Saccharomyces cerevisiae S288C: one gene and its partners. Changing the gene in region 2 together with the main gene of any one other region gives a genetic interaction. Each region holds a gene or a part of one and is shown on either strand. Other genes may lie near its edges. The genes, in order: THR1, SOV1, MRX1 and MIC19.

Evidence for each region.
Region 1: mutations in SOV1 (region 2) and THR1 impair growth when combined (synthetic growth defect), as found in Saccharomyces cerevisiae (one study listed by BioGRID).
Region 3: mutations in SOV1 (region 2) and MRX1 impair growth when combined (synthetic growth defect), as found in Saccharomyces cerevisiae (one study listed by BioGRID).
Region 4: mutations in SOV1 (region 2) and MIC19 impair growth when combined (synthetic growth defect), as found in Saccharomyces cerevisiae (one study listed by BioGRID).

The regions. Positions count from the first base shown.
Region 1 is NC_001140.6:157,928-161,011, reverse strand, and holds THR1 (homoserine kinase), read right to left. Parts: upstream 1,575-3,084; coding exon 501-1,574; downstream 1-500. Other genes in the region: VMA16 (H(+)-transporting V0 sector ATPase subunit c''), read right to left, coding at 1-168; MAS2 (mitochondrial-processing protease subunit alpha), read left to right, coding at 1,820-3,084. UniProt on the Saccharomyces cerevisiae protein: Commits homoserine to the threonine biosynthesis pathway by catalyzing its O-phosphorylation.
Region 2 is NC_001145.3:397,499-407,080, reverse strand, and holds SOV1 (Sov1p), read right to left. Parts: upstream 5,541-9,582; coding exon 2,844-5,540; downstream 1-2,843. Other genes in the region: AVO2 (Avo2p), read right to left, coding at 1-777; UBX4 (Ubx4p), read left to right, coding at 1,508-2,758; KAR5 (Kar5p), read right to left, coding at 5,865-7,379; AEP1 (Aep1p), read right to left, coding at 7,622-9,178; RIM9 (Rim9p), read right to left, coding at 9,285-9,582.
Region 3 is NC_001137.3:311,302-319,974, reverse strand, and holds MRX1 (Mrx1p), read left to right. Parts: upstream 1-3,374; coding exon 3,375-5,441; downstream 5,442-8,673. Other genes in the region: AIM9 (Aim9p), read right to left, coding at 1-12; YER079W (uncharacterized protein), read right to left, coding at 423-1,055; YER078W-A (uncharacterized protein), read right to left, coding at 1,165-1,329; ICP55 (aminopeptidase), read left to right, coding at 1,633-3,168; YER076C (uncharacterized protein), read left to right, coding at 6,477-7,385. UniProt on the Saccharomyces cerevisiae protein: Component of MIOREX complexes, large expressome-like assemblies of ribosomes with factors involved in all the steps of post-transcriptional gene expression.
Region 4 is NC_001138.5:166,246-173,207, forward strand, and holds MIC19 (Mic19p), read right to left. Parts: upstream 1,014-6,962; coding exon 501-1,013; downstream 1-500. Other genes in the region: ubiquitin-specific protease UBP6, read left to right, coding at 1-321; DCV1 (Dcv1p), read left to right, coding at 1,643-2,251; YFR012W-A (uncharacterized protein), read left to right, coding at 2,979-3,065; IOC3 (Ioc3p), read left to right, coding at 3,677-6,040; calmodulin-dependent protein kinase CMK1, read right to left, coding at 6,292-6,962.

The DNA of each region.
Region 1 (3,084 bases), on a different chromosome or scaffold from region 2:
AGGGGATGTCCTTAACAAGAACTTCCCGAAATTAATGTCGGATCCATGTCCAGTGAAAAGCTTGTACAAACCGTACACTATTACTACTATTAGCACCAAGTAATATAGGAAGTGGGAGAAGGAAAACTTCCCCAAGGACATATCATCATCTTTAGATTCCTTGTTCATTATCTTACACGCTCTAGCTCCTGTATTTTATTCGCCTTCCGGTGAGAAAAAAAACACCTGTGGATATTACGTTGAATGATACTTGTGGCTAAATCAATCAACTGGCCTTGGCTATGAGTCTTTTGAATTGAGACTGAAAACAACTTCGATTCATTATCTGTATTGTTAATGGTTGTGAAATTTCGTTCTTTTCACTTATTTTTTATTTTCGAAATAGATAGAAAAGACGGGTAACGGAAGAAGACTCAGCATAATAACCGTTAACGGTCAATTACAGTATGTATATGGTCTACAATAGTATTTAACACAGTATACTAGGGGTAAAGGACATTTCATTGCTGTTCGACGCTAGCACCATCGTAGGCAGGCTCCAGTAGTTTCCAGGAGCACTTGATGCCGTTTTTGGCGAACCTGTTGATAATTTCTTGAGAGATTTCTTCGAAATTCTCAGTGGCCAAAGCCAAGATAGTTGGGCCTGCACCTGACAAGCAGATACCCAATAGGCCAGGGTATGTGGATGGGGTGACACATGATAAGATTTCCGTGAGACCTGGGATCAATGTCTTTCTATAAGGTTGGTGGACACGATCTTGCATAGCAGGGTAGATTAAGTCGGCATTAGGTGGGTCCATGGTCAAAGCTGTGGTCAAGACGGCCAATCTTTGTAGATTGAAAACCAAGTCCTGGGTTGGGTAGGCTTTTGGAAGAACGCCTCTGGAGTCGGCGGTGGACAACTCGAACTGTGGGATGATCGCAATACATTTAATGGCGGGGTTCCATTGGTATTTGACATGTCTACCGATATCGGTGGGAGGTAATGGGGGAACCAGACCGGTATCTTCACCACCAGAAGGTTCTGGAAGCACCTCAGCCAATGGAATCTCACGTCTTTCCACCTCTTGTGGGGTCAAGTCCCTTAGGAATGAACCGCAAAAGCCTCCCATCATAGCAGCGGTTATGTTGTCTGGATGACGTTCAATCATCAAACAGTAGTCCAACATACGTTGCTTAGAGAAACCCAATTGGGCCACTTCGTTACCTAAAATAACACCTGCCACAACTGCTGCACCAGAGGAACCCAATCCACGGCCAAGTGGGATTGGGTTGGAGACGTGAACTTTGGTTCCGGAGGGGAAGTTTCTAATATTGTTGCAACGCAACACATATAACGCAGTCCTGGTAATCAGGTTAGCATCAGAACGCAATGGGACCGTAGAATAGCCTTCACTTTCTTTAGTGTAAGACAGCTTGCAGTTGTTGGGATCGTCGTTTGTTTCCTGAGCTTGGCTGGAGTCGATGGTGACATCTAACTCCAAGAATAGAGAAAGACCGACACCAAGAACATCATAACCAGGGCCGATATTGGCGGAAGAAGCTGGAACTTTAATTTTGAAGGCACGAACCATTTTCTGTAGTCCGTATATCTACTTTATGCTACTGTTATAACCATTAGGCAGGTTAGAAGTACACTTGTTTTTATCACCATATCTTTTCGAGATGATGACTCTTGCACAAATTTTTCATCCGGCGTGAGGGCGTATCGAGAATGAACAATTCAGGTGAAAAAGCCTACACAGGTGGACTAGAAGAAAGGTGTTTCAGGGCAGGTGGTCAAATTAATGCAAAGCAGAGAGCTGATTAATAACAAAAGATGCTAAGGAACGGCGTTCAGAGGTTGTACTCTAACATCGCTAGAACCGATAATTTTAAGCTTTCGTCACTAGCGAATGGACTGAAAGTGGCGACATCAAATACTCCTGGACACTTTAGTGCCTTAGGCCTATACATCGACGCAGGATCACGGTTTGAAGGTAGGAATTTGAAGGGTTGTACACATATCTTGGATAGACTAGCATTCAAATCAACCGAACACGTCGAGGGCCGAGCAATGGCAGAGACGTTGGAGTTACTGGGTGGGAATTACCAGTGTACCTCGTCTAGAGAAAATTTGATGTATCAGGCTTCTGTGTTCAACCAGGATGTGGGTAAAATGCTTCAATTAATGTCAGAAACTGTGAGGTTCCCTAAGATTACTGAGCAAGAACTGCAAGAACAGAAGCTGTCGGCAGAGTATGAAATCGATGAAGTTTGGATGAAGCCAGAATTGGTATTACCTGAGCTGTTGCACACAGCAGCATACTCCGGAGAAACTTTGGGGTCCCCTTTAATCTGCCCTAGAGAGCTCATTCCTTCTATTTCTAAATACTACTTATTGGACTACAGAAATAAATTCTACACCCCAGAAAATACTGTTGCGGCATTTGTTGGTGTTCCTCACGAAAAGGCATTAGAGCTTACAGAAAAGTATCTCGGTGACTGGCAATCTACACACCCTCCGATCACCAAAAAAGTTGCCCAATATACGGGCGGGGAAAGTTGTATTCCACCAGCACCAGTGTTTGGGAATTTACCAGAATTATTCCACATCCAGATCGGATTTGAAGGTCTCCCTATAGATCATCCAGACATTTATGCTTTAGCAACATTACAAACTTTACTTGGAGGTGGTGGTTCTTTCAGTGCTGGTGGGCCAGGAAAGGGGATGTATTCTCGTTTGTATACCCACGTTTTGAACCAGTATTACTTTGTTGAAAATTGTGTTGCGTTCAACCATTCTTATTCGGATTCTGGTATTTTCGGTATTTCATTATCTTGTATACCGCAGGCAGCTCCTCAAGCGGTTGAGGTAATTGCACAGCAAATGTATAATACATTTGCTAATAAGGATTTGAGGTTAACTGAAGACGAAGTCTCCAGGGCCAAGAATCAGTTGAAGTCTTCACTACTAATGAACCTAGAGTCTAAACTGGTAGAATTGGAAGATATGGGCAGACAAGTTCTCATGCATGGTCGCAAAATCCCAGTCAACGAAATGATAAGTAAGATCGAAGATTTGAAGCCAGATGATATCTCACG
Region 2 (9,582 bases):
TGATATCCTTCTTGGTAATACCGGCAACGGACTATTATTGGAATAGAGCGAATATGGCGAATTCATGCTTAAAACTGGGGAAGGCCCGTCCTCGAAAGTGGCCTTCGCATTTAGTATAGGAGTTCTGAATGAACTTGGTTTTTTGCCTGCACCCAACGGTGGCCCCTTCTTTTTCACCTCTTTTAACACTTTTGAATATATATTACCTACTTCAAACGTTTGTGCTACATCTATTGGCTTCCAATTTCCCTTGTCCCTGACATTATCATCCAAGGACACCTCACCTTCATTGAGAAGCATCTTCATACAACTTATACTGCCATACTCCAGGCATACATGCAGCGGCGTGTCGCCATTAGTGTCCATTACCCATAAATCAGCACCAACTCCTATCAACAGACTCAGACATTGGTAGTAATCGTTCATACATGCTATATGGATGGGGGCTCTACCATTCTCTCCGCGATGGTTGATAAATCGCGGAAATTGTTGCAAAAGTAAATGTAAGGTTTGCTCGTGCCCTTTCATTAATGCTAAATGCACACAGGTGTTTCCTTTAAAGGTTTTTATTAGTTCATGCTTGTCGTGCCCCAGCTGAATTAAATACACGCATATAAGGTATCTTCCATGGTATGAGGCGTAATGTAATGAACTCCATCCGTTCTCTGAGTCTATGTTGGTTAGCAAATCCGGATTCCGTCGCAATAATCTTTTCACTATAAGTAAATTGCCTTCAATAATAGCCTCCCGCAAGCGAACTGAGGGCTCTTTCAACATCTTTTGTTCAATATATCCTCTTTTCTAATGGGCGTTTTTTTTTTTTATTTTTAGGGTCCAGTTGATTTATACATTTTCAATTGTACCAGATCAAAAAAGTCTAGAGGAAAAAAACGTAATTAAGACAGAAGAAAAAAAGTATCAACTCCGGAATAACCGGGCCGCAAGAGAAATCAAACAATTAGTTGCACGAACATTTTTATCAGGAATAAGCAGGTAAGGGTAGGTATAAAGGTCAGCTCAGTACACGTATATCGTGTGAGTTATCTTTATTAAAATAATGATTCCAGAATAAGCGATGAGAGAGTAACGCTATTGGAATATGATATGGGAAATATCTTGAAACAATTTCAATAATTTGTCCATGTTTATGCAGTGTTGTACAAGCGTTTTTAAAGAAACTGTATAATATTCAAGATAGCGGGCGCCTCAACCGCTGTTTTGCTCCTCTTTTCTCTTGGAACTCTTGCCAAGAAAGATGTACGCCTTATAAAACGCTAGATGCTATTTCTTGCAACTTTATTACAAAATTTCAGCACTATTTCTTGCAATCCTAGATGTTTCCCTGTCTTCTATCTTCGATGTTAATTTAGACGTTTCTTCAAAGATTCAAGTTCTCTTTTATTGTACTATGTGTGGCAAAAAAAAAAGAAAACCAAAAAATGCAAAAACTAAGATAAATCTACGTACTGCGAAGAATAGCAAGGCAGACTAATAAGCGCACAATACAATGCCTATGGTTACCGTGAAGTATAACTTCCAACTTTTCAAATGTAAAGTTTCGTTGAATTCAACACTAAACGATGTGTTACACCAATCCATACAATTCTTTCAACTGCACACCTCGTCAAACGACTGGTCATTGATACATTTGGATAAACCGGTGCCATTAGATTTGCCATGGAGGCTTCTAAACTTACCAACGGGTGTCAACTTAGAATTATCTAAAAGTAGTAATTTTCCGGTGGCGAATAAGACCAACCGCGAAGATATTCCATTCAATACGATCAAAATACGGTTTCAAATCCCAGGAAGAGATTCCGTGGTTAAAGAAATGCCATCTGACCAACCAATTGCCCCTATCTTGCGACAGATGAGCGGCGCTGCGGGAGATGATTTTAAGATCCAGGTCTTTTCCAAGATAATAGAGTTCAAAACAATTAAGGATGAGAATTTGACTCTCGAAAATTTAGGGATTCAGGAGCCTTCGTCAGTTAGATTGATTTTTAATAATACATCTCATTCTGAGGGCATTAGCGCTAATAGCGCTATTCACCCAAAACAAACTCCCCCTACGATGACGAACCCGGAAACGGTTGCTTCACTACCACCTCACGAACTACATAAACCTTCTGTGTTTTTGCCCTCGGATGAGCCATTAGCAGTTATCAAGGATCAAATCGAGGATGAAGAAGATTATGAATTGACAGTAGAACAAGCCAAGAAATACCAAAAAATGTTATCATCGAAGGCTGGTACTTTGGGTGGTCCTATTTTGACAAAGAGACTTAGAGAGCAATCAGCCAACAACTTGCCAAAGAAAAATAAGGCTATATCTGAGTGTTTGCTGAGAGTCAAGTTCCCCGATAGAAGCCATATTCAAATAGCATTCAAACCCAATGAAGACATGCGTACAGTTTATAACGTCGTGTCGCAGTTCCTGATCGATGAGAACATGCCTTTTACGTTAAACCAATCTCATCCTTTCAAACCCTTGGCTAAAGACGATAAGAAGCTACTGGATGACCTGGAATTTGGCTCTAAAACAATGCTGCTTTTTGAAACAAATTCAAATTCTAATGGCCCATTAATAAAGGCTCATCTTTTGGAAGACGCACAAAAAATCACACACGAAACGAGGACAACCCCATCAGTTAATACGATAAATAAATCCAATCCACAGGGCCCTTCTGATAACGCTACAAGTATCAAAAAGACTTTAAATAGAGTACCTAAATGGATGAAATTAAGTAAAAAATAAATACAAAGCTAAACAGTCTCCTCTTTTAACTTTATTACAAATATGTACACGTATAGCTAAAATTATATAAAATGCATCCGTTTTTTTAGGCTTTTATCTTTAACTTATTTACATCTTCTATTAATTCTTCGAGTAAAGTAAACTCTGTTCCTAATTCTTTAAAAGCATCTTCTACCATCAAGAAAGTAGAACAATCACTTTTTTCCTTCCATTTTATAAAGATCAAAATCTCCCTGATCAAATGGGATATTGTATTCTCTTGATTTGTACCCTGTGGAATGTTTTTTAAGATTGACTCATTATTCATTAGCTCCGCCTTCCGTAACTTGTACTCACAAGCATCTTTACTGATGTTACTAATATCTCGTAAATATTGTCTTTTCAAACCCTTTAGAATATACATACTCAAATCGTAATCAATATTCAAGTCAAATTTTTTCGTTAGAAACGTTAATATGGCAGGTATTGCTTCTAAATCCCCGCTTTTCATGAACGTGGACACAATTAATTTAGAAAAAGTTTTGTCTGGCAAAATTTCACCATTTTCTGCCGTCATTTGGAACAATACTCTTGGGTGACAAGTTGGGTGAATCTTTATCTGCCTTTTTATTAATTTCTTTACAATGGACGACTTTTTCGATAAAATCCTAGAATTATTTTGTAAAACATGATAATAATGGCAATACACAGACCAAATCTTGTGGTACAGCGGTTTTGTTATGATGCGACGGTTGTAAAATCGGCAAGGGTTTGAGGTGGATAATGAAGACTCAGAGCTCACCTGTTGTTTGGATTCAAGTAGCGGATTGATGATCTCAAAACTTGAATTAAAGTCATACATGCTATCATAAAAATTGAGTATTTCTCTCAAAAAAACAGCATTTGGGATAACCTCTGACTCCTGCATTCTTTTTAAAAGTGACTTCACTTTCTGCTTAAATTCCTTTTTTCTAAATGAGGGCGTATTTTGTGCCTTCATATTTTGAATTTGAAGACTATAAAATTCAACAAATTTAGCGTAATGATATGCATTAACTTCCGAATAAAACTGATTATAGAGTAAATCTGGATCTGTTTTTGATTTCTTTGAGGCTTCTTCTAGTTTTTTTAAGATATTATATGCTTTTTCTTCTTCACCTGTACCGAGAAGTATGTTCAACAAGCCATTAAACTTTCTGGAACGTGACACACTGTTTAATTCCATCCACTGTCCAGAAGCCTGTTTAGTAATGAACTCTTCCAGAAAATCAGTTAATACAATACTTTTTGTTAAGGCCGAAACATTCTCAAACAGCAATTCATTGTATATTGGAGAATTAGTGTTATACTTAGTAATAACGCTCTCAAATGCCTCTTGCAACATTTTCACATTATTCTCAGGCACTACATAATCTTTATTTTGAGCAAAAATGTTTCGTAGCTTTTCAAAATCTTTCAACATATTTAGCTTGGTTTTAACAAGTAGAAATGCGGCATCTTCTTGTGTCGTTCCAGGTATTTCCATGTACTTGCTGATAAGTTGAGCCGCCATGGGAATATTTCTCTTATAAAGATGGAAATCAACAATGCTGATATAATCATGATCCGATGGTATTTCTAGTTCATTTAAGAACTCAGTTGCATGTTTCTCATTCTGAAAATTTTTAACTCCCGTGGGAAGTTCCTCCTGCTCATCTTTCATTCTGATTATTCCAACTTCTTCCACTAACTTAATAAATCGATCAGTCAGTATATTAGCTTCAGTAACATTGCCAATCGACAAATATTTTCGTATGCTCAATTTGGTAACTCTTGGGCTCAAATAAGAATACTTTGTTGAGTACTTTGCATCTGTCTCGGCTAAAAGTTTCCTGAAGTTTCTCAAGTGGTTAGACCTTAATGTGATCATTAATCCTAGTTCATTCCACCAGCGCTCGTTTACTTTGTCTTTATTGGTAATAAATAAACTGTATGCAGCCTTATAGTTTCCAAAAACTAGTAGGGATTCAATATAGAATGACTCATTTATAGGATCTAAACGAACTTTCCCTGTGCCATAAAGTAAATTTCCGACCAAGTAAATCCCTTTCTCCTTCATTTCTTGCACTGGTATCAATTTAACAACTTCAAAAGCTTGAGCAAGTTGGCTGAATGTGACCATTTCTGTTATTGACTCTTTCGGTTTGATTATGCCATTAAACCGTTCATTAAAACTTTTCAAAATCTCCAGTAAAAATGATGTACTCCTTAACGGTATATGGCCCTCTTGATCTTCAAATTGTTCTTGTGCTGATCGGAAAATATCGTTCATTATGGATTGCTCTAAGTCATCTTCATTTCCTTTCTCTTCATTGTATACCTGGGTTTGGCCGGTCGTGTTCAATCTTTTGATTTCTAAATCACACTCTTCGAGCAAATAATTGAAAACTGCATTAATTTTTACGGTGCTATTAGAGTCCTTGCTTTCTAAGGTTTTTTTTAATCTGTTTAAATTCTTGTTACTTCTTTTAAAGTTAGTTTCATTACAAAATTTCAGATATTGAATGAACGTTTCCTGGATAGTATCAAGAGGATTGATCTCCTGAAATTTCTTATTACTGAGAAGATTATTTTCGATTTCCTCTGATGTTTTTCCTTTCAAAATGAGACATTTTTCTGGTTCGTCTGGCCCTATGATGGTCTTATTAAGAACTTCAGGTATATGGGAGGCATAATTCAATGGCGCCCGCTTCAATCTATAAAAACGAATCTGAGACTTTGCTATCAAAGCGCTGCTACAGAGTGAGCGGTTGTATTTGAACATGAGTTATAAATATAGTATGGCCTTGTTTAATACGTTACTACTACCTAATGAATACTACCTGTGCCCATGATATAGAATCTCAAGATCTTTTTGCTTCGTCTTCAATGATAAAGCTGTAGGTGCTGCACTCGAACTCTCTTAAGCAAATTAACTTGGATAGTGACGTAGGACACCTTCTCTAGGTTCACTTGCCCGTATTATGGCCACCATGATCCGGTGTCCTTGAATTTTTAAAGAATATTTATTTTGCTAGACTTTGAATGCGGCTATATACCTATACATCTATGTATATATAGGCTTTCATATATTGTTACATCGGTAATGTTAAAAATCAATCAATGAGCCAGTCTTAGCTCCTAGATAAATTGAAAGTAGAAGAGCTGCCCATTGGTAATAGCGTTTAATAGGAATCATTTTGACGTTTACTCGAGACGTACGGTATTTTGACCAAATCCACACAACGGAGCACAGTAACCAGTAGTATTTATTCTTGACTGCAAGGTACCCACATCTTATAATCATTTTACTAGTTTTCCACATAAAATCCAATACCCTCATCATTGTCATGACATTTTTATGGACAAGTGAGACTCTGATTTCAATGTCGTCTAATTTTTTTTTTGTGCCATTCAGTTTCTCTGAAATATCATTAAAAGTTGAAAAAATCTCCTCATTCCATAAAGCAAAATCTCCATTTAGTGTAGATGTTATAGCTGTCCATTCTTGTAGTAAGGTATTTTTGAAGTTCGTCATCTCAGGTACTATCTCATCCGTCATGGATGGTAACAATGAATCATGAAGGATGGAATTGAACCCTTGCAAGAGCTCTATAGCTTCCATTTGTGATTCAGAAAGATCCTTTGACATGCCTCCTAACTGTTTTTTTAAACCCATCGAGAAGTTTTCCAACTCGGTATTAACTAACTTGTTATTTCTAGAGTAATATTCTTTTACGTCGTTGGACATTTCCACTAGGTCCTGTAAATTATTCAGGCTGTCGTCCTTCAAGTCATTTATCTTAGATTTTATGTCATTTTTAGCAAGCTCATCGGCTAGATCGCTCATAATATGATGGACGGTATCAACTTCATTCATTAGTTGACTGTTCTTCTCTATGATTTGGACCTCTAGTTGTTCGGAAGTTTCATAGAGTACATCATTCACTTTATTTCTAAAAAATGAGAGGTCGTTTTCTAAGATTATTCGATTGCTTTCGGTCGCATTTCGCAGTTCATTGTCATAGTTGCGGAACATCCTGGCCAGATCGTCCAAAAAATTTTGAGAATCTTGCTCCATTTGAAACATCAGATGATTTAACTTAGTATCGACATCATCCCCAAATGAATCATAAAGTTCAGTGATATTTAGAAAAAGTTTCAGTATCTGTTCTTTTTCAAAAGGAAGAAGATTTTCATAACAAATACTCGATAGTCGCTGATAATTTCCACTATAAGTTGTCCACCACTGTGAAGATGATTCTAGTTCAAACATACAATCCATCATTGATCCTAGGTCGTCAACCATGCAATTTTCTGGTATTTCGCCCAAGCCAGATGCCTGAAACTCGCATATTGAAAGTTTAATGGCCGTTTCTACCCTTGTTTCAGCGTCAATGGATTCAAGTCCATTTGCAATACATTGTGGCAAAAATAATTTTAGTGCGTCTTTAACACATGTTGATTTCAAGAATGGAAATTTGGATTCTAATACATTTGTCGCAACGGAATTATCTGTGTATATCAATCTTCCTTGCAGCAGATTGTTGATTTTTCCTAGTTCGGAGCTTGAAACAAACTTAATACAAATTGCAAACAAATAGACGTAGCGCATTTCAAACATTCAAAGTTTTTGAATAGAAACAGTTGTTGAACCAGAATATGTATACTTCATTGGTATTCCGAACCAGTGTTTATATATAGAAAATTTGTTCAGGATTAATCCCAAACAATTATGATAAAACAACCCGCTAGTGTGACACAGTTACAGTACGTATTCTTATTTACATTGTTTATTTGCGTGGAATGCGCAATTCCCTTTGCAGTGAGTTGCTCTTATGCTGCCTTTTTTTTAATATAGACGATTTATGGGCGTAAAGCTTCTCGTTCAGTGCAATTCAAATATTTCTCGATGAAGTACTTTTTAAATTCCTTATTATAACCTACAGCGCCCGTATTCTTAAGCGCGTGATTTCTCTCACTATTTTTGAGAGCCCTAATAATTTGTAGTTGGTATTTATGACTTAGTTTGATCTTATATGTATCTATCATATGAGCCATCATAGTGTAATTTCCTTGAAGTGCAAAAGACAGTATAAATTTCTCCACGAATTCGCTGGGCACGTTTTGTCCATATATTGGGCTCACTATATTGAAAACAGTGGATAGATTTCCGGAGTTGATCATTGGATCTTTAGTAAATGTTAATACTTTTTTGATAAAAATAGGTAAGGTGCTATCCACAGCCCGTTTTGCGTTATTGGATTTTCGAATAATATTTAGCAGAGAACACAATTCGTCGAAATGCCGGCACATAGGTATCAAAAATTTGAACAGGTCTATTGTTCCATAATTTTCTATTATGGGTGCAAGATCTGCTATGAATGCAAATTTGGATCTTATATCAAAAATCTTAGTGCTTTTATCGAAATGAACATCAATTGCCTCCAAATATCTATTAATGATAGTAGCCTCTGGTAAAATACCCTTTTTTATTAAATGGCCCAAAAAATTTTTGCTTTCATTCAAATTGCCGGTTTTAATGAAATATGATAATAGTTGTTCAATTACTATTGGGTGCAATGAATTTTCGCAACGCCCTGGAAAAAATCTGTTGTTGATCGCTGCCAATAGGTTTTCTAGTGCGGTAACCAATGTGGGACTGTACGGTGGGTTTTCATTTGCTTCCACTTTACAAAGGATATTATATAAAATAATGTTCATGGCCTTCATTTGGTCTAAACGTGAATATAATTGCATCTCAGTAACATTTATTAGTAGTATAAGTTTTTCAGTCGAGTTTCCATAATTCTTTATCAAATAAGCCAGTATATTCTCGCAAAATAATCTTGTCTGTTTACTGTCGCGGTCAAAAATATTCTGTAGTTCATTATTTACGGACTCGACCCTGGATTGCAAATCATTCGTGTTTTCAATCTCTGATAATATATTTTCAAGACCTCTTAATTTGGCAATATCGGTTGAAGACAAATGCAGAACGTGAAAAGATCTAACGCTTTTGCTCGCAGGTGTAAGTACAATATTTCTTTGATGTTGTCGTCTTGCAACGAATTCCATCAACCATTTATTCACTCCCCTAATATCATCAAACTTTAATTTGCTATCAACTAGTATGGTTTTTAGGCTCACCGGGTGTTTTATCAGTGATGGAGCAATTTTTTTGCCATCAAGCAGGCTAGGATTGTATTCCGTAGCGCATGCCGTGAATTGTTCTATTGCTGTTGGTTGGTAAAATGGGTGAATTATTTCTTCCGGATGAGGAACTTTATCGGCATGTTTAATGATCTTTCGACCGTCCGCTACTAAAGGAGTCTTTTTAAGTACTGGGTACCATTTGCGAGATTGCATCCTAATGAAGCACAGGTTTCTCCATTTGCTGATTTCTTGCACTGTAGTAATCATTTTCTAAGACCCTTAACAGATAGTGATGGAGGAAGAAAAAAATGTACAAATATTTGGAAGCCGATTGGCAAACCGATGTAACGTGCAAAATGACACATGATGTTACTTATTCAATGAACCCTCTATATGTCACTTCTGGAGCAATCAGACTATCTGTATGTGTTGGAGCCACTTCATATTCTGAGCTATTGCCGTTCTGTTTACTCTGGTAAATGTCGGAAATTGAGTACTGTTCCATTGAGCACGCATGCGCAATTGACTGTTGCGATTCATATTTTTTGACTGACACAACTCTTCTCATGACCCACAGCATGGAACAACAAAGTGCTACGCTAATAGTAGCGGCTAGCATTAGCCAGCCGGGCCAGTCCAGTTTGGAGATGAACAGAAGAATATCTACCAAA
Region 3 (8,673 bases), on a different chromosome or scaffold from region 2:
GTACCTAATCATGCTTGGTCTTCGTATTGCTGTCTTGCTTGCTAAACAGCTTTTGCTACTTCTTCTTCGCTGATGAGAAAAGGGAGTCTACTAAATACAGTTCGGCTTAAAGTGTCGCTGGTCAGCAATCGGCCCGAAAATACATTGAACATTTGAAATTACCATGTTTCAAAACGAATATTTATTATAATTATTACTAGTAAAAGTTATACATAAGAAGGGAATAATACAAAGAAACGGGAAACAGCTAAATGTAGTATATAGCCGAAAGATGTGGACATATCCCAACAAATCGTCTTATGAGATCCTTTTTTTGTTTTATATTTTTTTTTTTTAGCGGGTATAAACGTATCATTTATATATTTTATTCTTTCCTTTAACTCTCAAAATTTGAGCAATTAGGTTACTGTGGTTCACGTGATTCAAGTGTGCACATTGCTGCTATGCTTTGTAGTATTATCCATAGAGTTTAGGGAGGGGGAATGGTCGGAGAGTGGGTAATTTGCATTGTCTAATGGAGCAGAATCAGCGTTACTTTTCTGGAAATAAAACTGGTCCGATAACGAAGTAGTAGAATCAGAGGTGAGATTGGAGTTGGAAGTGGTGTTGAGTTTGTAAAACTTTTCGGTTTGATCATGCGATACCTTGTATTTGTCATCCTTGTCATTCTTCTTTTTTTTGTTCTTCTTTTTGTTCTTAGGGTCTACCATATTGCTAGTCTTCGGGGTAGGAGACTTTGTTCCATTATTGTGATCATATTGTTTTCGAACCATGGAATTCAATAAATTAAGTGAATATTTCGGAATCCCATCTCTTTTGACATTAATCCCCTGAATACCATCCTTCGTGGCAATCATGGAGGCACCTGATGTGATGGAGCAACCTGAGTTCGTTCTCGTTATCCTATCTTCACCAGAGGCAATATTGGAAGGGCTCATTGATCTCTGATCTAAGTCCAGGTTAGTAGACCTGTTATTAGTGTAAATGGACTGATCATAGAGAGAGATGGCAGATGCAACATCTTTTGAGCTTATTGAATGTGATGAATCAGGCATTATTAACTATTCGCTTCCTTTTCTTATCTCAGCAGTTTGTGTTTTTTATTCTTATTGTTATTATCCCTTTTAACTATATATGCATAAGCTAAGTTAAATATTAAAATATTTATATATAAACGTTACAGGGCGTGTGAACACATTTGAAAAAATGCTGGAAGGTAATGGTAGATATAAGAATTGGAATAACAGGTTGATAGAGAATCGCCAAGCTAGAGAGTTCTGACAAGCGGCAAGGGGGAAGGATGAGACGCAGATACGAAAGCCGCACCATTAAACCGTAAAGAGAGAAAAATAAAGAATGACTTATTTCTCGGAAAGGCCAAATGCAATTATGCAACACGCACACATTCACACTCACACTCACACATAAACTTTGACTGAAACCAAAACTGTTGTGAGTAATAGCCTTTCTTGTTCATAAAATAGTACAAGATACAGTAAATATATATCAACTCACCTGGTATAGGGATCACTTACTGCACTGCAAAAGTGGATCGTTTGCGCAAGAAACTCCACCAATTCTAAAGAATATAATAGAAAAAGCTAATAGGAAAAGTGGTCATTTTCTGTTGATATGTTACATAGGATAAACCCAGTACGGTTTTCTATGCAATCTTGCCAAAGATACTTCTCGAAGTTGGTATCGCCATTGGAACAGCATAAAAGTAATACTTTTACTAATAGAGTCAGAATCCCCATTGAGGCAGGCCAACCACTGCATGAGACAAGGCCGTTCCTTATAAAGTCGGGCGAGTTGACACCAGGCATTTCAGCCTTGGAATACTATGAAAGAAGAATTAGGTTGGCGGAAACATTGCCTCCCAAAAGTTGTGTGATTTTAGCTGGTAACGATATCCAATTTGCATCTGGAGCAGTATTTTATCCGTTCCAACAGGAAAATGACCTGTTTTATCTTAGTGGTTGGAATGAACCTAATTCGGTCATGATTTTAGAAAAGCCAACGGATAGTTTAAGTGATACAATTTTCCACATGCTGGTTCCGCCAAAGGATGCGTTTGCTGAAAAGTGGGAAGGATTTAGGTCTGGGGTTTATGGTGTTCAAGAAATTTTCAATGCCGATGAATCTGCTTCCATTAACGATTTGTCTAAATATTTGCCCAAAATAATTAACAGGAATGATTTCATCTATTTTGATATGCTATCAACTTCTAATCCCAGTTCGTCCAATTTTAAACACATCAAGAGCCTGTTAGATGGCAGTGGGAATAGCAATCGATCATTGAATTCCATTGCGAATAAGACCATCAAACCCATCAGTAAAAGAATTGCAGAGTTCCGTAAGATCAAGTCCCCTCAAGAGTTGAGAATTATGAGGAGAGCTGGCCAAATATCAGGAAGATCGTTCAATCAAGCCTTTGCTAAAAGATTTAGGAATGAGAGAACTTTAGATTCCTTTCTTCATTACAAGTTTATATCCGGTGGTTGCGATAAGGACGCATATATCCCCGTGGTCGCTACTGGTTCGAATTCTTTGTGTATCCATTACACAAGAAACGATGATGTGATGTTTGACGACGAAATGGTTCTTGTAGACGCTGCTGGCTCCTTGGGTGGTTATTGTGCTGATATTTCGAGAACGTGGCCCAATAGTGGGAAATTCACTGATGCACAAAGAGATCTCTACGAAGCTGTATTAAATGTTCAGCGTGATTGCATTAAGTTATGTAAAGCTAGCAATAACTATTCCCTCCACGACATCCATGAAAAGAGTATCACACTCATGAAACAGGAATTGAAAAACTTGGGCATAGATAAAGTCTCCGGTTGGAATGTTGAAAAATTGTATCCGCACTATATTGGACACAATTTAGGTCTAGATGTTCACGATGTGCCTAAAGTTTCCAGGTACGAACCATTAAAGGTTGGACAAGTTATTACTATTGAACCGGGTTTATATATTCCTAACGAGGAATCATTTCCATCTTACTTTAGAAACGTCGGAATAAGAATTGAAGATGACATAGCCATTGGTGAAGATACTTACACTAATTTAACTGTTGAAGCAGTGAAAGAAATTGACGATTTAGAAAATGTCATGCAAAATGGCTTATCTACAAAATTCGAGGAGGACCAAGTGGCACCACTGTAATGTTATTGCTAAATTGAGTACACCCTGTATATACAGATACATAACTTATCGATTTAAGGTCTTTTAATATTAAACGGAAAATTCAAAAAAAAAAAAATTTACTGAAAATATCTTGAGATACTTTTCTTCAGCTTTCTTTTTGTTTTTTTCCTCTTCTTCTTGGGCACTGCTCTTTAGTTTTTATTTTTAGTTACGGCAAAATAAAGATGGGTCTAAAAATTACAAAAGGACAGCTGAGAACCAAGGATCTGAATCAATCATCCTCAAAGTCATCGCAGTCTTCAAGAATAGGTGTAGACACTTGTATATTTACTAGAATGCTACCCCGAATAAACACTGCAATTAATCTCACAGAGCATCTGCTGAGAAGATCTTTTCATTCACTGACAAATCTACAGAAAACTCAAGTAAAAGAAAGACTACATGAGCTAGAACGTCACGGTTTCATATTAAATAAAACATCCAAACAATTGGAAAGGATAAATTCTAAGAAAAGAAGACAATTGAAAAAACTGCAAAAGACAGCATACCCCAAGGATCAAGCTTTTCATATTCTTCGAAAATTTCATAAAATAAATAATGAGGCATTAGCAGATACAAAACTGGGGCCAACTAGCCAAAGCGACTTGAAGTTCCTATCCTTAACCAAAGATAAGAGACTCTTTTATACCATACTAGGCGTCAATGGAGAACAGTTACGTGATTCCAAATTAATCGCCAATGATGTTCAAAAATTTTTGAAAAGAGGACAACTGGAAAAAGCTGTCTTTTTGGCTAGGCTAGCTAAAAAGAAAGGCGTCGTTGGGATGAATTTGATTATGAAATATTATATCGAAGTTGTGCAGTCCCAACAAAGTGCTGTAGATATCTTCAATTGGCGAAAAAAATGGGGAGTCCCTATTGATCAACATTCCATCACAATCCTCTTTAATGGGCTCTCAAAACAAGAAAATTTGGTCTCAAAAAAATACGGAGAACTTGTTTTGAAGACTATAGATAGTTTGTGTGACAAAAATGAGCTCACGGAAATAGAATATAATACCGCTTTGGCGGCACTGATAAATTGTACCGATGAAACACTAGTGTTCAAACTTCTTAATAAAAAGTGCCCAGGTTTGAAAAAGGATAGTATTACATATACCTTAATGATAAGATCTTGTACCAGGATTGCCGATGAGAAACGTTTTATGGTGGTACTCAATGATTTGATGAATAAAATACCAGACTATTGTGTCGATTCTAAATTGTTATTTGAGTACTGTGAAGTAATATGTAGCCAGAAGTCACCAAAGATTGAGAAGCAAGGAATGGGACTATGGGCCCTCTGTGAATATTTTCAATTTGATAAGACCATTTTCAAGAAGTATTTGACACAAAGCGATTTTCCTACGTTAGTTCCACTAAGTCATTGGAACATCAATAAGCCATTTCCTCTCAACAAACATGTTGTGGGATTGTTTATGAATTACTGTTTGAAAAACAAGGAATATGATCTTGCTATGGAAATATTTAAGACATTAGAGGCACAGAACAACCAAATGTTAGATCAGAGCATATACCACAAATACATGGAAACTGTCATAACAACGAGGCCCATCACTTGCGGCGACGAGTGTCTGGACATTTATGAACGGGTAGCCTCGTCGGCACAAATCTCAATAACCAGGAGGACGTTAATTTTGGTGTACAACGCATTCCAAAGACAAAGTCTCAAGGCCGTTATAAACAAAGATGCATCAAATGCTGAAGCTACTTTGCACAAGATTCGGGGGTTTATAGATAGCGTAGAGGCCACATACTCATCAAAGTTGAACGGCAAAGTTTACAGGTTTAATTCATGGAAGTTCCTGTTTCCTATCGTTAAAAATCTGAACATGAATGATAAAGTGTCTACAGTGGAACTGAAAAGTATACTAGATGAATACTTGAAATCTTTATTGAATGGTGAGTTCGGGAAGGAATTTAAAGCGAGCATAGAAGACAAGCGGTTTGTTACGTTGGAGGGAATTCGTTTAGTCAAGGTTTTAACCGAGAGAATCAAGCTTCCGTCACTGGACAGTGAGGAAATAGCCAGTTTAAAAGGCACGGAAAGAAAGAAGTTTCTTGCCAGAAGGCACCTTTTGAGGCTGAAGCAAATATTACTGGAAGATTTAGCGGACATTGAAGGCAACTCAAGAAGGAAGGGTGATAGCGAAAATACAAGTACCAGTGAAGAGCGCATCATGGAGGACTTGGCCGAGCTGATACTTGAAACCAGCTATGACAAGTTTTAAGTAAAAATTGATTATTTACTCCTTTCAATATGTACATAGTTTTGAGGTTTTTTCAAATTTTTTTCCTATTTTTTTTGTTAATTGAAAGTTACTGATGATAAATTATTCAAAGGTGGTGTTAATTAAGAATGAAAGTACATCTTCCTATACTATGAAGGAGAGGTTCATATAACACGCGCAATTGGCACGTCTTAAGTATCATCAGTACAATATAGTGGTATGTCAGGTAAATATAACATGTTCAGTGTAACAACTCATATTTTCCACGTATATATTGGATCTGTAACTCAATTGCGTCATTGTCTACATATTGCTTTTAACAGTTTCATTATTCTGTTACTGTTGCAATTATATATAAGCGTATAAGAGATGTGCCTAAGTATACGATGAGAACGCACATAATGTTATTATATCAACTCGCCTGTATATTTTTGTACTACTTGTTCCAACACGAAAATAAACCAAAGTAAGAAGGGTTAGCACCTTTTTTTGCAAGAGAAATCGCTCTTCAACTATTTTAAGTCAATCCTATGAAAAAGGGTTTGCGCCAGATTTCCAGGGACAAAAAAGAAAGTTTTATGTAAGACTAGATTGTGTTGATATCTCGAGCAAACTGTTAACCATTTTAAACCAATATAGTAATAAGTGTGAATAATCGTTCATCTCTAAACAATATGTAAATAATTCTAAAGAACAAAATATTTTGTCATTATCATCAACCTGTGAGCACTGAAAAAAAATTAATTCTAAAATGGTGCTCCATTTGCAAATATTCTTTCTATTTCCCTGACTCCCGCTAATCGGTTTTATTAGTGAAGAATACAGCCGTGGATTGAAAAACAAACTGGTTCAAGTCATTAACTGAAGTAATGCGACCACATCTTATACAAGAGGCAATGCTTTCTAACAGTTTTACATTATTCAAAATCTTCACATAGCCGTAACTTAACTTATATAATAACCGCATATTGGGCTCTTCTGAAAGAACTATTATAAGAAAGATACAAAAGCAAGCAATCAATCCAAGGGAGAAAAATGACCTCAGGATACTATACCGTCTCATTTTTTTATGCGATCTTATTGTTATGCGCATGCACACGTGCTGAGATCTACCTGACGGGCGGTGAAAGCCAGGGCTTGCCATCAGGATTCTGGCAAATGGACGATGATTTGGCAATCGCTCCAGTTTCTATGGTTGAATTTTACCAGACGATAGGATTAACTGCAAATGGTACTGTACCTGAGTCCTTCAACAAGCGTGATGCTACTGAATACCCTAACATTATCAGTAATATAACTACCCAAGCAGCCAACTTCACTCAGCATAGTCTCGTCGAGCAACTTCAAAATGACGTCACGGCAATAAGTATCAGTAATGCCATTAATGTAGCCGTCGATGGTTCTGTGGAAACACCAGCAGACCTGCAATACAACCGCAACCAGGAAACAGGTGAATCTACCCTCTGTAGAGCCAAGTTTTACGGAGTGGAGGTAAGAACTTGGTCTAGGTTGTACAATAGGGCCGTCTCTTCCACAACTCTTACGACTAATTTGAACAGCTACATAGCGCAATGGGTAGCATGGGCCGTTCACGGGAGCGGTGACAAGAAGTTTTGCGGCAGCCAGGAGTTCACGAATATCTTTTTTGATGGGCAAGAGGGTTGGAGTTTGTTTGTCAAGACGTGGTCAACAAACAGTAGCTGTGATATTACAGCCTCTGAAGGAAATTTAACATGTGCAGTTCGTGTTTCAGTATCCAGTATGCACAATCACGGCAAGACAGCGTTTTGTGTTACCTATAGCCACGGTGATTCTTGGCGTGCCGAGCTGAGAGTAGTTGCCAATGATGCTTGGTCCCATTATTATCCCTGGAGTATTGACTGTCCAGAAGTTGATAAAAATAATATGGCTATTAATGATTGTTTTGATCAGGCGCAAGGTTAACGATTGAGTTTCCCATAATTTTTACCGCTCTCCTCTTGGTTGAGACGTATGCGAAAAGCTAATTCGACGTTTTTTATTGTAAAATCGTACACTTTTGCAGGCAATTCTACATATTATATAAGATTTAAGTCGGATCTTGAGACTTTTGGTGAACTTTGAGATGATTGTTGGGATTCCGTTGTTGATAAAGGCAATAATATTATGTATACAGAATATACTAGAAGTTCTCCTCGAGGATATTAGAATCCTTACAATGGACTTGATATTTCTACATAAAAATATTACGATTATTCCTCATTCTGTTTTTTATGTTTCACCATCCAACAGATCTAAACTCATTTCTTCAGGTATTTATAACTTTGATTGGTTCATCTTAGGCATACTCAATCTTACCTTTTTCATGCGTGTAGGAACGAAACTCTAAAATCATCTACGGGTTAAAATTGCTTATACGGAGGTACCCCGTGTTGAGATCCAACACATACAGAAATTCTGGGCACATGGCGCAGTTGGTAGCGCGCTTCCCTTGCAAGGAAGAGGTCATCGGTTCGATTCCGGTTGCGTCCAATGAAATCTTTTTGTACCAAGTTTTTCTCTGTTTTTGTTAGACCGCAAGCGAGTTTACCGAATCACAGCCCACCTCACCCCACAGGAAAACAGCAGCAGAACGGCTGCTAAATGACTATTAACAATAAGAGGTTTTCGGCTACTTTCGCTGCTTGCTCGTTAAATCCGTTCACTGGTAGCGAACCTCAACGACAGATGTCTATGTATGCTATACGTAAAATCACCCCCATTATGGCCATTTTATGTGTCGCCACTGCTACACACCCACCGATGTGTATGTACTTCTAATATCTAACCAGACCAGACCCCACGCTTTTTCTGGCATCTCCTGCTGCCATCTTGGTGTAGTGAGCGGAAACTTTAAACATTAAACAGAATGGCGGCGACTTTGAGATTTGGGCCCGCTGACGCTGAACGAAAAGAAAAGACCTTCATGAAAAAAATATTTTGCGGCAAAACGTCATCGGAGAACACAGCGCAGCGAGAATGTGGTGTTAGCCAGACCCAACAGTTTGCGCACCTGGCATGGATGGATGCAGATAGGTAGTGTTCGATGCGCAAGAGTCCAATCTTCTCCTCGCCATTTGCACCGGCGGATGTAACACTATATTTTCATTGACCTTAGCGGTTTTCTTTCTTTGACATGTAACATCATCACTTCAAGCACAAACAAAGAACTGTATACACAGACCACAAACTTGCATATTATTCTAACATCGGT
Region 4 (6,962 bases), on a different chromosome or scaffold from region 2:
TATGAGACACAAGTGGCTCTTAACGAAAGTGAAAAAGATCAATGGCTCGAAGAGTATAAGAAACATTTTCCTCCAAACTTGGAAAAAGGTGAAAACCCATCTTGTGTTTATAACTTGATCGGTGTCATTACACATCAAGGTGCCAATTCTGAGTCTGGACACTATCAAGCTTTCATAAGGGACGAACTGGACGAAAATAAATGGTACAAATTTAATGATGATAAAGTTAGCGTTGTTGAAAAGGAAAAAATTGAATCTTTAGCCGGTGGGGGCGAAAGTGATAGTGCACTGATCTTAATGTATAAAGGATTTGGTCTGTAAGTCCATTTTTCATTTTTTCAAAATTAATAGTTTTTTCGGAATATACATATACATTTTTTTACATACACATAAAAATATTTCTCTCCCTTTTACGTTCATCCGCCAATCGATAAAAATGCATTTTATATACATGAAATGGCGAATTCTTTTTGGTCGAGTTTATGTATACTTTTTCTTATTCAACCCATAACGAGCTTCTTGAATTCTTCCATCTCTTCGTAACAATTCAATGGCTTGCCCTTATTGGCCAAAAGACACTCAGTCAATTTTGCCTTTATAGAAATGCTGCCGTTGTCGGTTTTTTTATCAGATTTACCTTTGGCACCCCCATATTTCTCCAACTTTTGTAACTCTAATTGATCAAATAATGTTAGTTTCTTGTTCAACGACTCGATTTGATTATTCAATGAACTTGATGATATTCCATCAACGGCATCCTTGTCGTCGTCTGATAATAGTGAATTGTTCAAAGTATCTTCAAACTTCTTTAACGTTTCAACTTCTAGGTTAGATAGCCTTTGTGAAACCTTCTTCTCAATGAACTTTTCTGCATTTTGCTTGGTGACATAGTCTGATTCCTTCGATGAATCCAATTGAGAAACCAAAGACTGTGAAAAATCGATCTGTGTTAGCGGAGTATAGACTTGTTGTTTTTCTGCACCAGCACCCACTTTGGAAGTGTTTGAACCCATGATTGACTCTGTATTAGTCGATATACCACCTTGTTTTTGTTCTTGAATTTTTTTTTGATTAGCAATCTCTTTGAAATGTTCCTCCTCACTTGTTTTTTCCTCTGCGTCTCATTGGAAGAAGAAATATATATATATGCGACATACCACGAATATTCGTAGTTTTTTACAACAAAAACGACTCTCGGTAGCCAAGTTGGTTTAAGGCGCAAGACTGTAATTTACCACTACGAAATCTTGAGATCGGGCGTTCGACTCGCCCCCGGGAGATATTTTTTTAAATCTTGCAGCTTTCAATATTTAAATATAAGTAATAAACCATCAGTTAAACAACAGAACAAGTATTTCTTAAATCTCATGAAAAATCTAATAATGTTATTTGCCGAATTTTATTATTGATTTGGTTGGTCTTCTTGATAATTCTGTGGGCGCTTTTTTTGTGACATATTAAAATTGCGAAATTGCAAACGAAAATATAAATATATATGAATGTTAATAAATAAATTATTTAATTGATGATTGAGGATGAAATACACTTTTATGATCTGTCCTTACGCGTAATAATTACAAGAAGGTGAGAAAATTGCCTTTTTTTGCTAATTTTTTTTTTTTGGTACCATATTCAATAATTGATGCTAAATTATAAATTGATTTTATTGTTTTCCTCTTTCCTACAATTAATCTCTTTTTCTGGCTTTATGATATGTTGTTTAACTTCACCAATAATTAGAAACTGGGGGCTGGCTCAAGCTGCTGGAGTTTCATATGGTACCTTTGGTTACTGTAAAACTTTGAATTCTTTTTCCTGCTCTCGAGTACGTTTAATATATAACACCTCGAAAGAAATATTACCTGGCCCTTCTCTTGAACGTTGGTGGCTGAGTCCTAAGGCAAGACATACAATAGGAGGACTTTTGATTTCGATACCGGTTGCTACATGTTTGACTTTCATTTCTTTTGCACTTCCCTTGGTTATTATTTTTCTTTTTCAGACTGGAGGAACTAATGTCTCACTTATTACTTCCAACGCTATATTACACATATTGACACTTTTATCAACTATTTTTGCATGCACCGTGATCCTGTTACTTTGCATGCACCGTGATCCTGTTACAATTTCATCCTTATACGACTTGGTGTGGCTGGCTAACTGTTCCCTGTTCCCTCTGCTCGTTATTGGCGTGCATTTTCTCAGTTTTAGGTTTGATACGTCTGCGCAGTCAGACAGAAAACATAGCTAAAGAAGCTAGTATAGAGAACGTAGACAGTATTCTCAAACTATATGGAACGAGTCAAACATCAAGTTCCCTTGGCGAAAATTATCCACAAACAACTAAGGGCACAGACCAATCTGTGTATGACATCACAAGTCTTTTTAATGATCTACCAAGGACCTTAGATCCCAATCAAGATAAACTGGCGGTAACAAATCAAGATGAACCACCGCCTGAAATCAAATCTCCATTGAAGCAAGCAGGTTTGGTGAGTTTCTTCGCTCCAAAGTTGAATGGTAAACAAATATTTTCTAGAAGGCATGTTGAAAATCAAAAATCCTTATCTTTGGATGAAATCAATATAACCGACTTACCTGCAAAGCAAGAAAATGTGGAAATGCCTACTGAAAAAAAAAAGGCAAATATTTTATATTATGAGGGAATCTCAAGCCATTCACAAGATAACTACGACCCTCCTTGGTTATTTGGCGTTGAGGCTACCCAATCAGCCGATTGCTTTAAAATATATTCAAAAAAAAATCATTGTCTCACAGAGCCCCGCCAATATCAACTACAACAACCAAATAATTACCAGGATCAAAGTGAGGTTCCTCATAACTCTTTCATTCCTTGGTATTCCCGAAGAAGACCAGTAGGATACAACCACAATTACAATCGCTACTACTCACAGACAACTCATGGTAACAGCGAACACTCCCGACAAACATTGCCACAGACCTACAACATACACAGCATGCTCCCCAGAAAGTACAAGCCCGCCTACAAAAAACAGGCACATCGTGTGAAGAGTAATCCACAACCAGCTTATACTTTCCAATGACAAAATAACAAGAATAAAGTACTATCCAATCTGCTTTTTTTGTACGCGTTTTGTTGGCGCGCCGCAATTTGAAAAATAAGAATAAAGTACTTCTTGCTACTATTTAATGATTCCATCCGTATTCCACATCGTTGACGTCTGAGTCTGATAGACTAGTATATAGAAAATAAAAATAAGATAGAGTAAATAGTATGCTACTTTTATCGAGCCCATCTTTTTGAGCTTAATTTCTGAAACAAAGAAAGGAAGTGCCCATTTTTCCTCTTAACGGTTTCTAAAATTACTGAAGAGAAAACAACTTTTAGATGTAATTTATTTACATTAACATTAGCAGTGACTACAGAGGACAGGTATGGCGGTATGGCGGTATTTGTTAACATTGACTTTCCTTATGCGTGGAAGTACTAGTAATATTCCCTCTCGGATCATAAAAGTGAAATATCGTGCTTCACGATTTGCTGAAACTTTAACAAATTCATTGAAATTACGTGAGTTTATACTAATGAATGGACTTAATTTCTTAAGATGGTGATATCTTCCACATTGGTTTCGGCCAACAAAACTATCACTTACCAAGTACTTCAAGCAAAGTTTGCAATCCCCTATTGTTTATGGATTCTCCATCCAATTCTATCCAGAATTTGCAGCAAGAAGCCCAGGGCAGCTCTTCCGCACAGCTTGCTGACCATGATCATGATCGCGTATCAATGGCTATGCCCTTACAAACCGATCAAAGTGTTAGTGTTTCACAATCTTCTGATAATTTAAGGAGATCAAGACGTGTTCCTAAGCCAAGAACGAGCATTTATGATGAATACGAGGAAGAGTTAAAGGAAAGGGCGAATAAACCCAAGAGGAAGAGACCTGCTCCTCCTAAGAAAAAGGCACCTTCCACACAGAACTCTAAATCAAATGATAAAGTAGAGAAAAAGAAGACTACCTCAATTGCTAAGGATGGCAAACCTACACTGAAGACTAATGACAAAAAAGTGGCGCCGAAACCTAAACCAGCCCATGAACAAGTAGAACCCGCTTTGATCCCTAGCAATTGGACTTCTGTAATACCCTTGCTTACTTCTGATTTCAAGAACCAGTATAGTGTCATCTCTAGGTTAAAAAATCCGAACATGAAGCCTGTGCCATATGCTGGAGATATCATTAAGCTGATGGCGTTCATAAATAAGTTTAGTTCTTTTTTCCATTCTGACCTACAAAATTTATCATTCCAAGATTTTGAGGTCGGTTTAGATTTGTATCCCGGCGATCCTAATGGAAGCGCAGCTGGTATAGTGAAGGGTCCTGAAGACACCTCCTTATTGCTATATCCTGATTTTATGGCCATCAAGGATATCGTCTATTGCCAAGACAAAATGAATTTACTGTTCCTATCCTTGTTAGATTTAACATTTACTGAAAATTTTGATGGTAAAAGTGCCAAGAAGAAAGGTCCATTAACAACCTGGGAGAATCTAAAATCGTCCTCCAAGAAAGTATTTTCCAATCCTCTTTATCGGTTAAGACTTGTAGCTCGCGAATGGGGGTATCCACGAGAATGGCGTCAACAACTCCCCAGTGACCAAGATATCTCCAAACCTAAAACTGCTCTTTTTGAACAAGATGAACAAACACCAGTGGTGGATCCCAGTCATCCAGAAATTTTAACGCCAAATATATATACCTGGAATGCTAATGAACCACTCCCATTGGAATCAAATCCTTTGTATAATCGAGAAATGGACAAGAATGGAATTTTGGCGCTCAAACCAATGGATCGCGTTGTTTTATTGAGGGCGTTAACTGACTGGTGCGCTTCCCATTCATCTGCTATTCATGACGAGATATACAAATTAACTCATGGTAAAAAAGATCCCGTTTTTGGCATCCAAACACAACAAGTGCCTAGGTATACAATTGAAGGGGTAGATAATACCATAAATCAGTTTAAAAAACTCTGCTCACTAATTCAATCAAGATATGAAATCAGAAGTAAGAAAAAACATTTTGTTAAACAACTAAAAGAGGGTAAAAAACCAGATTTATCAAGGAAGCTAGAAATACTGAAGGAAATTAAAGCGGAATTGAAGAACGCTGTAAAATCCGAAAAGGATGAACTTTTGTTCTCACTGTACGACAAGTGGGTCCCATTGTTTGAAGGCGAATTACCTGATCAACCATTAGCCAATCCTTTTTCGGAAAGACTTTATAAATTGCGATTACAAGAGTTCTTCCTTGGTAGAGTTCCCCATATAGGTGATTTTTATATGCCAAGATTACACAGTTATGGGGACTCACTCGAAATGAGCACCTTCACTGATTTGAGAAATCTACAAGCATTGCTATCGAAATTCAAAAATAATGAATACAACGCTTTTACACTGTTTGAAAATGATGGACAATCGATGAGTGCCCAATTCAAATTGTTTTACCATGACACACCATCGTTGGCGCATGATGTTGCACGAGGCAGAAATACATCGGGGAAGGTTTATTGGTATGAATTATGCCACGATTCAGCAACACTGCTGGAGTTCTTGGAGTTCTTGGACTATAAAATTGTTAAACCTCAAGATGAGAAAAAGGAGGGAAATGAAAAAGAAAAAGAAGCACTGAATAATGAAGCGCACATATTGGAGCAGAAATCTACCACTGATAATAATCCCTCCATAAATACAAACCCGCTACCAAAAGACGCAAAATATAACACTGCGAGAAAGAAGTTACAGATATTAAAGGAATTTTTATCTGATTACTATTTCATTCTTCGTCAGTTTGAACAAATGAAAGTGCAATTTGCAGACATGAAGCCAGGCAAGAGACAGTTGAGAAGGATACAGCGACAGACTGTAAACTATAATACGGAATATGATAGCGAGGAATATGTCGATGATGAAGAAGACGACGAAGCTGATATTTATGATGACAACGACAATGATTCTTCTTTTGATGATGGTAGAGTTAAAAGGCAGCGCACTTAGACAACTAGCTTTCAACGAACGTGAAGATTGTGAAACTCCTTACAGGCTGCATTTCGATTAATTAAGTAATGTAAAATTAAGACTATTAGTACATAATTAGATACGCGTATCTTTTCAACTAAGGCATAAAAAAAAAAGGTAGAAAGTGAGGACGAAAAAGTGCAAAATATCAAAGTCAAATCTTGCGCATATTCGAGCTTACAAAGTCATTGAAGATTTATTCGCCAGTGTGGTAAAACGGCATACTGTTATCATTCTTCTGTTTTGGTATCCTTCCCCTCTGGTTTCTCCTTCGCCTCATCCAAAGACTTTATATCACTCCCAGGAAGATCGCTATCAGAACTACAGACTCTGTTAATATTTAAAAATTTTTCCTTTTCGGCAAGCACTGTGTTAACTAATTGTGCAAAAGCTTTGCTGGTTAACTCGGACTTCAACTTAGACTGTTCTTCTTCTGATAGCTTCTTGGATAGTTGACTGGTATCCGTTGCTTTCAATGGAGGAACTGAACCGTTTGCTTGACTTCCTTCGTCAAAATCTGAATCACTCTCTGTCTGTTCAAGATACAGATCTCTTAATTTCTGGATCTTCATGTTTAATCTGACTCTCTCAACAGAATTACGGAACTTTTGACGAGCATCCAATCCTTCCTTTAACCCAGGCAATAAATTGTGCGTCTTCAATTCGGTACAAATAATCCATGGATCTTCCAAGAGTTCTGCGGCGGTCGGTCTCTTTGAAGGATCCAAATTAAGAGCCTTCAAGATGAATTGTTTTGCTTTATTGGAAACGGAATCCCAATAAGGCCTATGAAACTTCACTGGATACTCACCAGTTGTGCATTCGTCAAGGAAATCTTGAACCCTTTCGGCTCTAAACGCCGAATAACCGCAAAGCAAAGTATACGTAATGACACCTATCG